3 linked regions of the Canis lupus familiaris genome follow. The protein of the gene in region 2 interacts with the protein of the main gene of each other region in a biochemical or structural test. Links are inferred from orthologs where the notes say so. Each region holds a gene or a part of one and is shown on either strand. Other genes may lie near its edges.

Region 1 (2,585 bases), on a different chromosome or scaffold from region 2:
CTGGGTCCTCTAGGCAAAAGGAAGCAAGCACTAGAGTCAATGAGATGTTTTTCACACCCATGATCTCCAGCTAGTGTTGATTTTTCCGAGGGAGCTTCATTTCCATGACAGCCATCCCTCCTTATCTTATCTAAGGAGTGAACGTGGGCCAGTTCTCTCTGCCTCTGTGTAATTGTGAGTGAATCTGAGAAACCTCCCCTCTCTAGCGTGAGCAAACGATGACTCTTCACTTTCTCTGGAACACATGTTAAGCTGAAACCATGATCAAGCAGGGGTTAATTATAAGGTAGGGAGGGGAAGGGTTCAGGATTGCTTATTTAAATACACTGAGTATTTTTAATTTCGGGTTTCTGTTTACCGCTGAAATCAAACTCTGTTAATCCATAAAGCCAGTGACTCTGAGGTTCAAAGCTTAGCCTTCCGAAGGACTGCTCCCTAAACTGAGTAGAAAGTATTAACCGAGGGTTGGGTAGCTCAGTAGCCCTAAAGCCTCAATTGGTCTCTTTTATAATTATTTTATAGAGGACTGTTCAGCTTTGTTCTTTTGCTTGTGAAAAGACAGGATGAAGTATTTCTGGCAGGACAATCTACTGTGATGCTTGCTGTCTTACTTCCAGGTACCGCGAGAACCTTCGAGAGATGAGAGGCGTTCTTCTCCCTCCCAAGAGTCTGCCAAGTCTTTGGTCTGTCTTTCCTGAAGGTACTGTTGGTGACTTCTGTTTAAGGACAAAAACCCAGAATTTTCCAGGTACCAGAGGACACACCCAAGCTCACCTGAGACTGAGAAGGGTAGGGGGCTGGGGAGGTTGAGAGAAAGAGAGGGAGGACCTGTACCCATATCTGGGACGGGAAAGAACATTTTTTTTTTTTTTTCTATTTCCTTCCTACCTCAGGCCTTGGACCCAGAACTGGCCAAGATTCCCTGCCCTGGGGTGGCCAGAAGTAGCCCAGACTCCAGCACCATGCAAGCCTGACCCAAGCTGAATGCTGGTGACCAGTAAATACCTAAGTTCCAAGGTGCTTCCTTGGATGTACTGAATTAATGAGACCTCCGGGGTACTCCCTGAAGTGACTGAGATATGCTTTCCTCTAGGCTGACCAGAGAGCTGGAGCAGATTAAATTTGACTTACAGGGATGGGGGGAGGGGGGAAGAGTGACGTTTCTTGCTCCTTAGTATTCTGGACTGAAGTTGATGCTCACAACACTACCCCCCTCCCCCGTTGGGGTGTGTTTATCATTACAGACAAACATATACACATTTGCAAAAACACTGCAGAGGATTTGGGGGAGGGTGCCGCAAGGTGTGCTATATTTTTCTTTTAATTTAAATACTTATATTAAAGCAAGCCTGAGGGACACCTGGGTGGCTCAGTGCATCTGCCTCCGGCCCTGGAGTCCCAGGATCGAGGCCCACATCGGGCTCCCTGAATGGAGCCTGCTTTTCCTTCTGCCTGTGTCTCTGCCTCTCTCTCTCTCTCTCTCTCTCTCTCTCTGTGTGTCTCTCATGAATAAATAAATAAAATCTTAAAAAAAAAATAAAGCAAGCTCGAATGACTTAAAAGAGACAGTCTCCCTTAAAATGTATTCTGGGGGGTTTCTTCAGCAAGATGCCAGTCTTGGAGCATTGAGAGCGGGAACTCGCCCTCCACTCCTTCCTTTTCCTGCTTCTGGGGGTGTTGGGGGCGAGCCATTCACATTTCCCTGGGGGGCAGGGGAGGAAAGAAAGCAGAAGGACTTTGCCCAGGGAGGCGCCTGGGCCACTGGGGACCTTTGAAGATGATCCTTTCCTGTGCACAGCCCATGCATTTTGAAGCATAACCATTCTGTCTGGGGCGGCCCCGGGCCGGGTGCGCCGCGGGGCATGGGGGTGCCTGCGTTCAGCTAGAGCAACTTCAGGATGGCAGGGCCCTGCTTCTCCTGCGCTCGGTGATGAAAGGAGCTTTCAGTCTGGGATCAGCAACGAAAGAAAACCTCAACTCTGCTTCACAGCTCCGATTCTGATCAGAGATCGACTCCGTCTGCCCGGGACAGGAAATTTAATGTCTATACTTACTTGGTACTTGACTCCATTAAAACAAAGCCTGAAAGCCAAAGTCAACCCGGAGACGCAGCCTGTTTGTAAGCTGAGTAGACTCCTCTGCTGCTGGAATAAAGCCCCGCCAATCGGGCGCTTGGTCCCTTTCTAAGGCCCCATTATAAGACTGGCTGCTTCTACTGGGGGGGGGGGGGTGGTGGTGGGGAAAGGGGCATTTTCTTCTTTCTTGGTATCAGCTCCTGCCAAGGCTGCTCTGGTACTGTGATTTAAAAAGGTGAGGCTACTGGAAGCACAGGCATGCCGCTGCCGAGGCACCCGCTAGCACCACGTACCGTGCATGGTTACGCAGAGGCTCTTCGGTCAGCAGGTTAGAAGAGAGGGTGACGCAGCTGCCGTACATCTCCTAGAGAGGTGCAATTAAACATCATCTGAAAACATGCAACAAAAGCTCGGCGCATGCACACGACTCAGTCAACAGGAGGCACGCAAGGAAGCAGATTAGCAGACAGAAGCTTCACACATAGTTTAAGAGGCACAGGGAGCTGCTGA
Region 2 (3,649 bases):
AGAGGCCGCATTCTCTTAAGTACATAAGATACATTTAAAAAAGTTGTTTTGCCTTAATTTGTAGTATTAAAAACAAGTAGTCCCTAAAGACTTAAGAGTTATGATATAAACACCCCATAGAGTATAATCCATGCACTTAGAAATGAAGATTACATAACATGGAAAAGCTTATGATACAACATTAAGTGAAAAATAATCAGAATACAAAATCATATTTCACTGCTTACAGCCATATAAAAGTCAGCCATCCACATCGTCAAGGGTTAGCCCATGTGGAACAAAATGCAGGACCCTTGGCTCCTCCAGGAACTCCCCTCCTCCTCTCCTTCCTCTCACTGACAAGCTGAGCCCCCTCATGATAGTCCCAGCTCATGATGAACCCAATAGCCTGGCTTTGACCAACCACAACCCTGGACTAGAGTCACCACTATAGCCATCAAGTCCAAAGGTTCTTTCCTTCTTATCAACTCCATCTTTTCACAGCACATGTACTTCTTTACCAGTAATTTACTTTTCTAAAATATCCTCAAAATCATCAGTTGGATGGATAATGCCTCCTTTACTGGCTTCTCCCCTCGCTAAGAGACCTACCTACTCAAGCTTCTGTCCTCTGTCCCTTTGGCAATCACAACTAATCCAATGGCTGTAATATTTACCTCTATGTAGCTAGTCCTCAAATATAAAGTGAGCTCCTAAGCAACACAGCTAGGTTCTCAAACGCCTGCTAGACAACTCCACATATATTTCCTTTGGCATCCACTTTTCATGCAGGTTAAGGTTCCTCATTCTTCCTACAACCAGACTGGATCTCCAGACTCCCATTTCTCTGCATGGCACCCTTTTTGCTCTAGCTCTTAATGCATGAAACCTCTGTAAAAATACAGCCCTAAACTCCCTTCCTGCCCAGTCTTCAACATCTCTTCTAGCTTCTAGAAGAACAGGGACTCATACTGTTCTGCAAGTACACTCCATGCTCATTCTCTAACCCTGGGATCTTACTCAAGTTTCAATTCATCCATGAAGTCTTGGTGACTTACACTCAGAAAGATGTGTTTTCTCTACCGTTAAAATCTTGTAATACTTAGTTTCAGCTTCTATATTATGGTTCTCCTGTTTGGCATTTTTATGTTGAACCACATGAAACTGCTAATAGTTTTATGCCATATGGTTTAACCTAATACTTCTGTTGCTTTTAGGGCCCCTAACTAGTCACCACAAAAGCAGGAAATGAGTTTGCCTTTCTTTATGAGCCCCCAGGAAGCCCAGAACATTGGAAGGATTTGTCAAAATGAAAAGAATCTGAATCAATATATATCTTATACATATGAGTAAGGGTTAGGCAGGGCTAGGTATGAGAGATGGGGGGCTATGTTATCCGGCTCACAAAAATCCCCCAAATGAGGAGGTATGAGAAAACCAGAGATGAGGGAACAAACCAGACCACTCTACCCTAGGTGTCAGAGGTAGGGTCTTGTTATAACAGCTACTTGTGACCAACAAAGAATTACCAGATCCTAAAGGTGTTATCACTAGTCCTTACTTGATGGTGTTATCAATAGAGGTGTTAAAAAGATTTAAGTTTCCTGGCTACTTTCAATAAAAGACCAACCCTAAAAGCCCTCAGTGGCCACCCTGTCGGGACCCCTCTCACTCTTACTGCTTTATTCACTCTCCTTTGTCCTGAGAGAGATTCATTCTTCCACTCTGAGAGATAAGAACCTTGCTCTCTGCTTCATGTATATGTTGGTAAAATGAATCATCTGTAGCAATTAGTCTAACCTATCAGCTTAATGGTAGAGGTGAAGAGTTTTAGAACCTGAAACTTCAAAACTCCTGGTAATATAAAATATTTTGGTTCAAGGAGCCGTTTTAAAATCATTTATTTGTGAAGGGAACATTCTTGGATTTAGAGGTTGGCAGGTACAGTAAAAAGCTTTTTAGTTGACTGGAATAAAAAAATAAAAAGCGAAACGCTTTTTTTAGCAGAGGCACTTCCCTTAAAAAAACAAACTGCCTAAAAGCAAAGCACAGCAGTTTGTGCACAGTAACATGTGCCTCCAGCCATCAGCAAAGACCACTGGGGCCAGAGCTCGATTTGCATTTCTATGGCTTCTTTTTGTAGGCGCACATTCTGAAAGCATTTCACCAAGAAGCTGTAAGCATCATCAGGAGAAGACACAATGATGGGATGTCTATACAGGAGAGGCACCAGGTAGCCAGACCCAGCAGCCCTCCTGCGCACAGCAGTGGGCCCCCAAGAAACATAGGTGCAATTAATCTGTGCTGGTTGAGAAAGGGGAAAGCTGTGTCTGATGGGTCCTTCAGCATCCCCTGACCATCCACAGAAGCCATCTGCTCTTTCATGCTTTTGCAAAGCATGACTTCAATCCAGTGAAACGGTATCTGCTGGTATCCCCATCAGATAACAGTGCTCCACGTCTAGGGGAGGGCGCTGCTCATCAGTTCACCTGCTCTCCCCCTCTTGCTACAGAAATCACCCTTGGGAATTAAACACCCAGGTGAGAGGACAGTAGGCTTCATAGGTACCAGAAGCAGCAAGAATGGTGTCAGGAGAGGACAGGCACTGCTTGCTTTCTGACATTTCAGTAGTCTATTCTAGGGATGGTTTTAGGGCAGCTCAGAGAAAATACGCACAAAGAGGGACTTTTGCTCTGTTCCTGTCTCCGTTGGCCGCTAGCATGGAAGCTGTGATTTTGATGGGGTTTTGATGGGGTGGGGAATCTCTCAATGCCTGTCCTAAAAGGGCCCTGAGCCCCGGACCTCCTGGAGCGAGCTGCAGCCGCAGCCTTCCGATTATCCTCCAGGGGTCACAATTGGGTTACAGATTCCTCGCAGTGCAGTGACTGAGCAGTCTGATTTGGAACAATTTATTCGAATCCTTCTTCATTAAGATTCAAATGGAATAAGTAAGGTAGAAATTGAACAGACACAGAAATTGCGCCTTGCTGCTCCTGTAGTCAGTAAACATTTATTCACCAAGCCCAGCCCGTGTGTTCTCTCTCTCTCCCTCTCTAACCCACAGTTGTTCTTCCAATCCTTCCTGCTTGCTGTTTTAATGCATAATTAAGAAGGTCAGAATTAATGAAGCGGTGTGGAGTAAAGTTCAAGGAATCCCCAGGCACTATTTATTCTATTAGATCTCAGGCATGAATGTCAGCTTGGCAGAGGAAGAGGCATAAGCACTGGTGCTGGCTGCATCCCAGGAACCATCCACCGAGGGACACTCACCTGCACTGTCAAGTCATTCCTAAGCTCCTTCCCAGCGAAAATCACACGCAACTGGTCAACCGGGGCCCCCTGTCGCTTAGCAACCACCTCCTTGAGCTGGAAGATGCTGGTTTCAGAATCGACCTCCACTGGGAAACCATGGCTGGAGTTGAACCTGACGAACACTGACCAAGAGATTAGGAGAGAGGGGGGGAAGTGAGCATTACTCAAAGATCAGACGTGGCAACAGCAACATTTCTGTACCAAGTTACCTCTCACCTGCCCTTCAATGAACAGGGTACATTTCCTTTTACTTATAATATACTTCATGCAATGGAGCAACATTTGAAGAAAAACAGGTTCCCCATGGGATTTCCCTTTCATACATCAGTCAGTGACCTTCCCATGCAATCGCTTGCTC
Region 3 (3,749 bases), on a different chromosome or scaffold from region 2:
AGGCCGGGTCAGCACCATGCCTTTGGGTCCCGGTGAGTGCTCCGTGATACATGAACCACGTGGGCCCAGACTGCACAAGCCAGTGGGGACATGGGTGACTGTGCCCCCTACCCCAAGCTCTGGGTGAAGAGGCCCTAGTGCCCAGACAAAAAACTCCTGTCCCCACTGGGCTGGACGGGGATGCCTGGCCTGCCCGTGTAAACTGACCTCCAGTCCCCTCCTCTGCCACACCAGGCTGCTCACCTTCAGTTCCCGATCTTGCTGCTTAAAGTCCTCATCCTCGTCAGAGTCACATTCGGGGAACTGGTACACGTGGATACCAAACTTGTCAATCTCCTCCCGGATCTGGGGCAGGGCAAGGCGGTCAGATTTGAGGCTAGCCAGGAACCCAGGGCCAGGGGCACTGGCACCCAGGATCGGCACACCCAGTGTTCTCTGTCCCAGAGACCTAGCCCAGGCCCCGCTGCCATGGCAGGCTCACCCGCTCCTTCAGCTTCCGGATCTCGCCAGGGACAAGACAGTCAGCTTTGGCGATGAGGGGTACAATGTTCACCTTCTCGTGCAGAGCCTTCATGAAACCCACATCCACGGGCCGCAGCCTACAGAGAGCACCCAGGGGTAGAGAGGGGCATGGTGGGGGTGGCAGGGTCCTGGGGAGAGGCTGGGCTGGGCTGGGCGGGGTTCGTGGTTGTGAGTGCACCGACAGTGGACAGGCGGTGGCCGGGACAGCCGTGGGGATCTGTGGAGCCCGGCAGCCCCCCGAGCCCGTTCCCAGGACATTTACGCACCCATGCCCAAAAGGGGAGATGAAATACAGGCAGCAGTGCACACGGTTGTCTTGGATATTCTTGCGGTTGAGGCCGCTCTCGTCTCGGAAATACTGCTCAAACTGCTGGTCCACATAGTCGGTGATGGGCTTCCAGCTGTAGGGAGGCAGGAGGGCCCATGAGGCCAGAAGGGAGGTGGGTCAGCCTAGGCAGACACTGTCCCCCAGCTGGGCTTTCCTCACCACTCGGAGTTGTTGACAGCGTCCCCGAAGCCTGGAGTGTCCACAATCGTGAGCTTCAGCTTGACTCCCTTCTCTTCAATGTCCACCGTGTGCTTCAGGATCTCTACGGTCTGGCTGATGCGCTCTGTGGGGGTTGGGGCATTGTTTGCTGGGGTAACTCCAACTCTCGGCCCCAACCCCACTGGGCAGCCAGGACCCACGTTCTCATTCGTTCTAGTGTCTTGGCCCTGGCCACGTGGCCTGATGGTGGCGTTTGGGCCACTCCTCCTGGACCCTGAACAGGAGACCCATGCTGTGGGAAGACGGGGGCAGGGCGTGGACCTGGAAGGGAACCCTGTGAGGGGTCACACAGCAGGGGATGGGGAACCAATGCCAGGGCTCCATGGGGCCCACTCACCCTCAGCACTGAGCAGCTTCCGGTCCTTGTACAAGTCGGTCAGGAAGAGGCTGTGGACCAGTGTGGACTTCCCCAGGCCTGACTCACCTGCCGGCAGGTATAGGGAAAGAGTCAGGTTAAGTCTGAGGTCCCTATGACAGAGCCTAGCTGGCTAACGTTCCAAGCCACCCCACCTGGGAGTCCAGCCCACTCACCGGCCACCATGAGCGTGAAATCGAAGCCCTTCTTCACAGATTTCCGGTGCACCTGATTGGGCAGTGTGGCGAAGCCCACGTACTGCTTGTCGATATCCTGGGGGCCGGGGCGGGCAAGTCAGGGGCATGCTGGGGTTCCTGGGGCAGTCTGATGCCCTGTTCCCTCCCTACCTGGCTCAGACACGGAGGCGGCAGAGGGTAGAGTCCCCTGGGGGGTTGGGGGAGTTTCAATGGCAGAAAGGGGATGAGGGCCTGTGGGCAAAGGCCTGGTGCTGGAAAGGCTGGCGAGGGGGGCGGCAGGCCTCCTTGCCCCAGCCTCCGCGAGGGGCTTTGCAGGGACCTGACAAGGTGTGTAGAGTTTAGGATGTCTGGCTGCCGCAGGCACAGGCTGTGTCCTCCCTCAGCGGGGGGAAGAGTGCGCCAGGACCACGACCCTGAGCCATACCCAAGGCCCCCCAGCCGGAGAGGCCCCTGACCTCAATACTCACCCCTCCTGAGTGTACCAGGGGGTGGGAGGCCCATCTGGCCGGGATCCAGCCGCGGGGGTGGCTGGCTGCTGCCACCGAGGCGGAGCCGCGGCTATTTATAGACAGCGGCGCGGAGCCTCCCCCGCCCGCGGGTCGCACTGCCCACCCGCGGCCCCGCCGGCCCCTGCCCGGCCCAGAGCCCTGGGGACCGGCCCGCGGGCGCACGCACCCTGACCCACTTCGCGCGCACACACCTTGAGTCGCCTCTGGGCCTGGGTCCGCGGCGACAGCAGCTGCTCCACCAGGCGGTCCTGGGGCGCTGCCAGCGAGTCCATCGCGGCGCTCGCACCCGCACCCGCACCCGGACGCGGTCGGGCCCGCGGGGCGGGGCGTCAGGGGGCCCGCGCGGTGCTGCCTCGAGGCCCCGCTGTCGGGCCGGCTACGCGCGCGGGAGCCGAGGCCCAGGGAAGGGACGTCGCCCGCCCGGGGTGCCGCCGCCCCCCGAGGCCGTGCGTGCCATGCCTGGGCCCTCGGGCCCGCGCCCCAGCCGCCCGCCGCGCCGCAGCCACCGCAGGCCCCGCGCCCGCGCCCGCGCCCGCTCCCGCACCCGAACCGGAGGCGGGGCCTCGCGGGCGCCGGCGCGGGGGGGACGGGACCGCGCGGTCGCCGGGAAACTGTTGCCTGGAAATTGGGCCGCGGGCGGGCGGAGCCACCGGAAAGCTGCCGCGGAGGGCAGGGCCGCGCAGGGCGGCGCAGGGCGCGGGGGCGGAGCCTCGCCGGGGACCCGCCGCCTCGGGCCGGGCCTCGCGACCACCCGCGTGGGCCCGGCCGCGGGGGGGGGCGGGGGCAGGGGGCAGGGGGCGGGGGCCGGGCCCGGGGGACGCGGTTGTGGCCGCCGCGCGGCTTCCGCCCGCCAGAGGGCGCCGGGGGAACGCTCCCGGGACCCAGGCGCACGCCCCGGGAACCGGCCCGCTCACCCGTCCTGTCCTCGCGGGTGGCCCGGGAACCTCCCGGCGGCGCCCCAGCTACCCACGGCCACGCCCCCGTGCTGCCCCCCCCCCGGGACGTGTGCAGGGGGTGCCCGGGGGGGCAGGGGTGTTCTTCACCGGCACGGCCTCCTGCCCGACGTGAGGGAACTGGGTGGGGGCAAAGCCCGCCTCCCCAGCCTGGACCCACCGCCCCTGCCCCCGGGGGTGGCGGACGCTGAAAGCGGGGGAGGGAGGGTGGCTTAGAGCACTAGGCGCCTCCCCGCCCTACCTCTGGAGACCCGAAGCTGCAGCCAGCCCTGGCCCCAGCTGCGCCCAGACCACTCCGCGCCAGCGCCGAGCAGACGTAGCTGGGGAGGCCTGTGGAGTGAACTTACCCCCTCCCCGGATTCGGCTCCCTCAGCTTCCCCGCCGCTCTGACCCTCAGGACTGGCTGGAGCGCTCCAGCCCGGGTAGCCCTGGCCTCCTGTGACCACCCCGGGGGCCCACAGGCACCTCCTGAGCCACCACACCCTTCCTCACCCTCCCTCCAGGCCTCCACCAGAATCTGAACCAGCCAGTACCAGCTGGGCAGGGGGGAGGCTTGGAAAGGAGATGCCGCACGAAGACACATACTCCTTGGACTGTGTGTCAGTGGGGAGAGGCGGCCTCCCAGCTCTCCCCCACCCTGGTCCTCCCTTCTTGGCTCCCCTGGCT

What was found.
Region 1: of the proteins of PRKN (region 2) and SNCAIP, one has a biochemical effect on the other in vitro, tested with the Homo sapiens proteins (3 studies listed by BioGRID). The link is inferred for Canis lupus familiaris from reciprocal best matches to the Homo sapiens genes PRKN and SNCAIP.
Region 3: of the proteins of PRKN (region 2) and SEPTIN5, one has a biochemical effect on the other in vitro, tested with the Homo sapiens proteins (2 studies listed by BioGRID). The link is inferred for Canis lupus familiaris from reciprocal best matches to the Homo sapiens genes PRKN and SEPTIN5.

What each region holds. Positions count from the first base shown.
Region 1 is NC_049232.1:12,258,707-12,261,291, reverse strand, and holds the end of SNCAIP (synphilin-1), read right to left. Parts: intron 2,440-2,585; coding exon 2,369-2,439; intron 1,350-2,368; exon of another isoform or gene 894-1,349; intron 749-893; exon of another isoform or gene 717-748; coding exon 608-716; 3' UTR 593-607; downstream 1-592. UniProt on the Homo sapiens protein: Isoform 2 inhibits the ubiquitin ligase activity of SIAH1 and inhibits proteasomal degradation of target proteins. Isoform 2 inhibits autoubiquitination and proteasomal degradation of SIAH1, and thereby increases cellular levels of SIAH.
Region 2 is NC_049222.1:51,485,931-51,489,579, forward strand, and holds part of PRKN (E3 ubiquitin-protein ligase parkin), read right to left. Parts: intron 3,414-3,649; coding exon 3,250-3,413; intron 1-3,249. UniProt on the Homo sapiens protein: Functions within a multiprotein E3 ubiquitin ligase complex, catalyzing the covalent attachment of ubiquitin moieties onto substrate proteins. Substrates include SYT11 and VDAC1.
Region 3 is NC_049247.1:29,732,635-29,736,383, forward strand, and holds the start of SEPTIN5 (septin-5), read right to left. Parts: upstream 2,476-3,749; 5' UTR 2,403-2,475; coding exon 2,322-2,402; intron 1,698-2,321; coding exon 1,601-1,697; intron 1,494-1,600; coding exon 1,407-1,493; intron 1,134-1,406; coding exon 1,010-1,133; intron 924-1,009; coding exon 789-923; intron 600-788; coding exon 482-599; intron 346-481; coding exon 244-345; intron 1-243. UniProt on the Homo sapiens protein: Filament-forming cytoskeletal GTPase. May play a role in cytokinesis. May play a role in platelet secretion.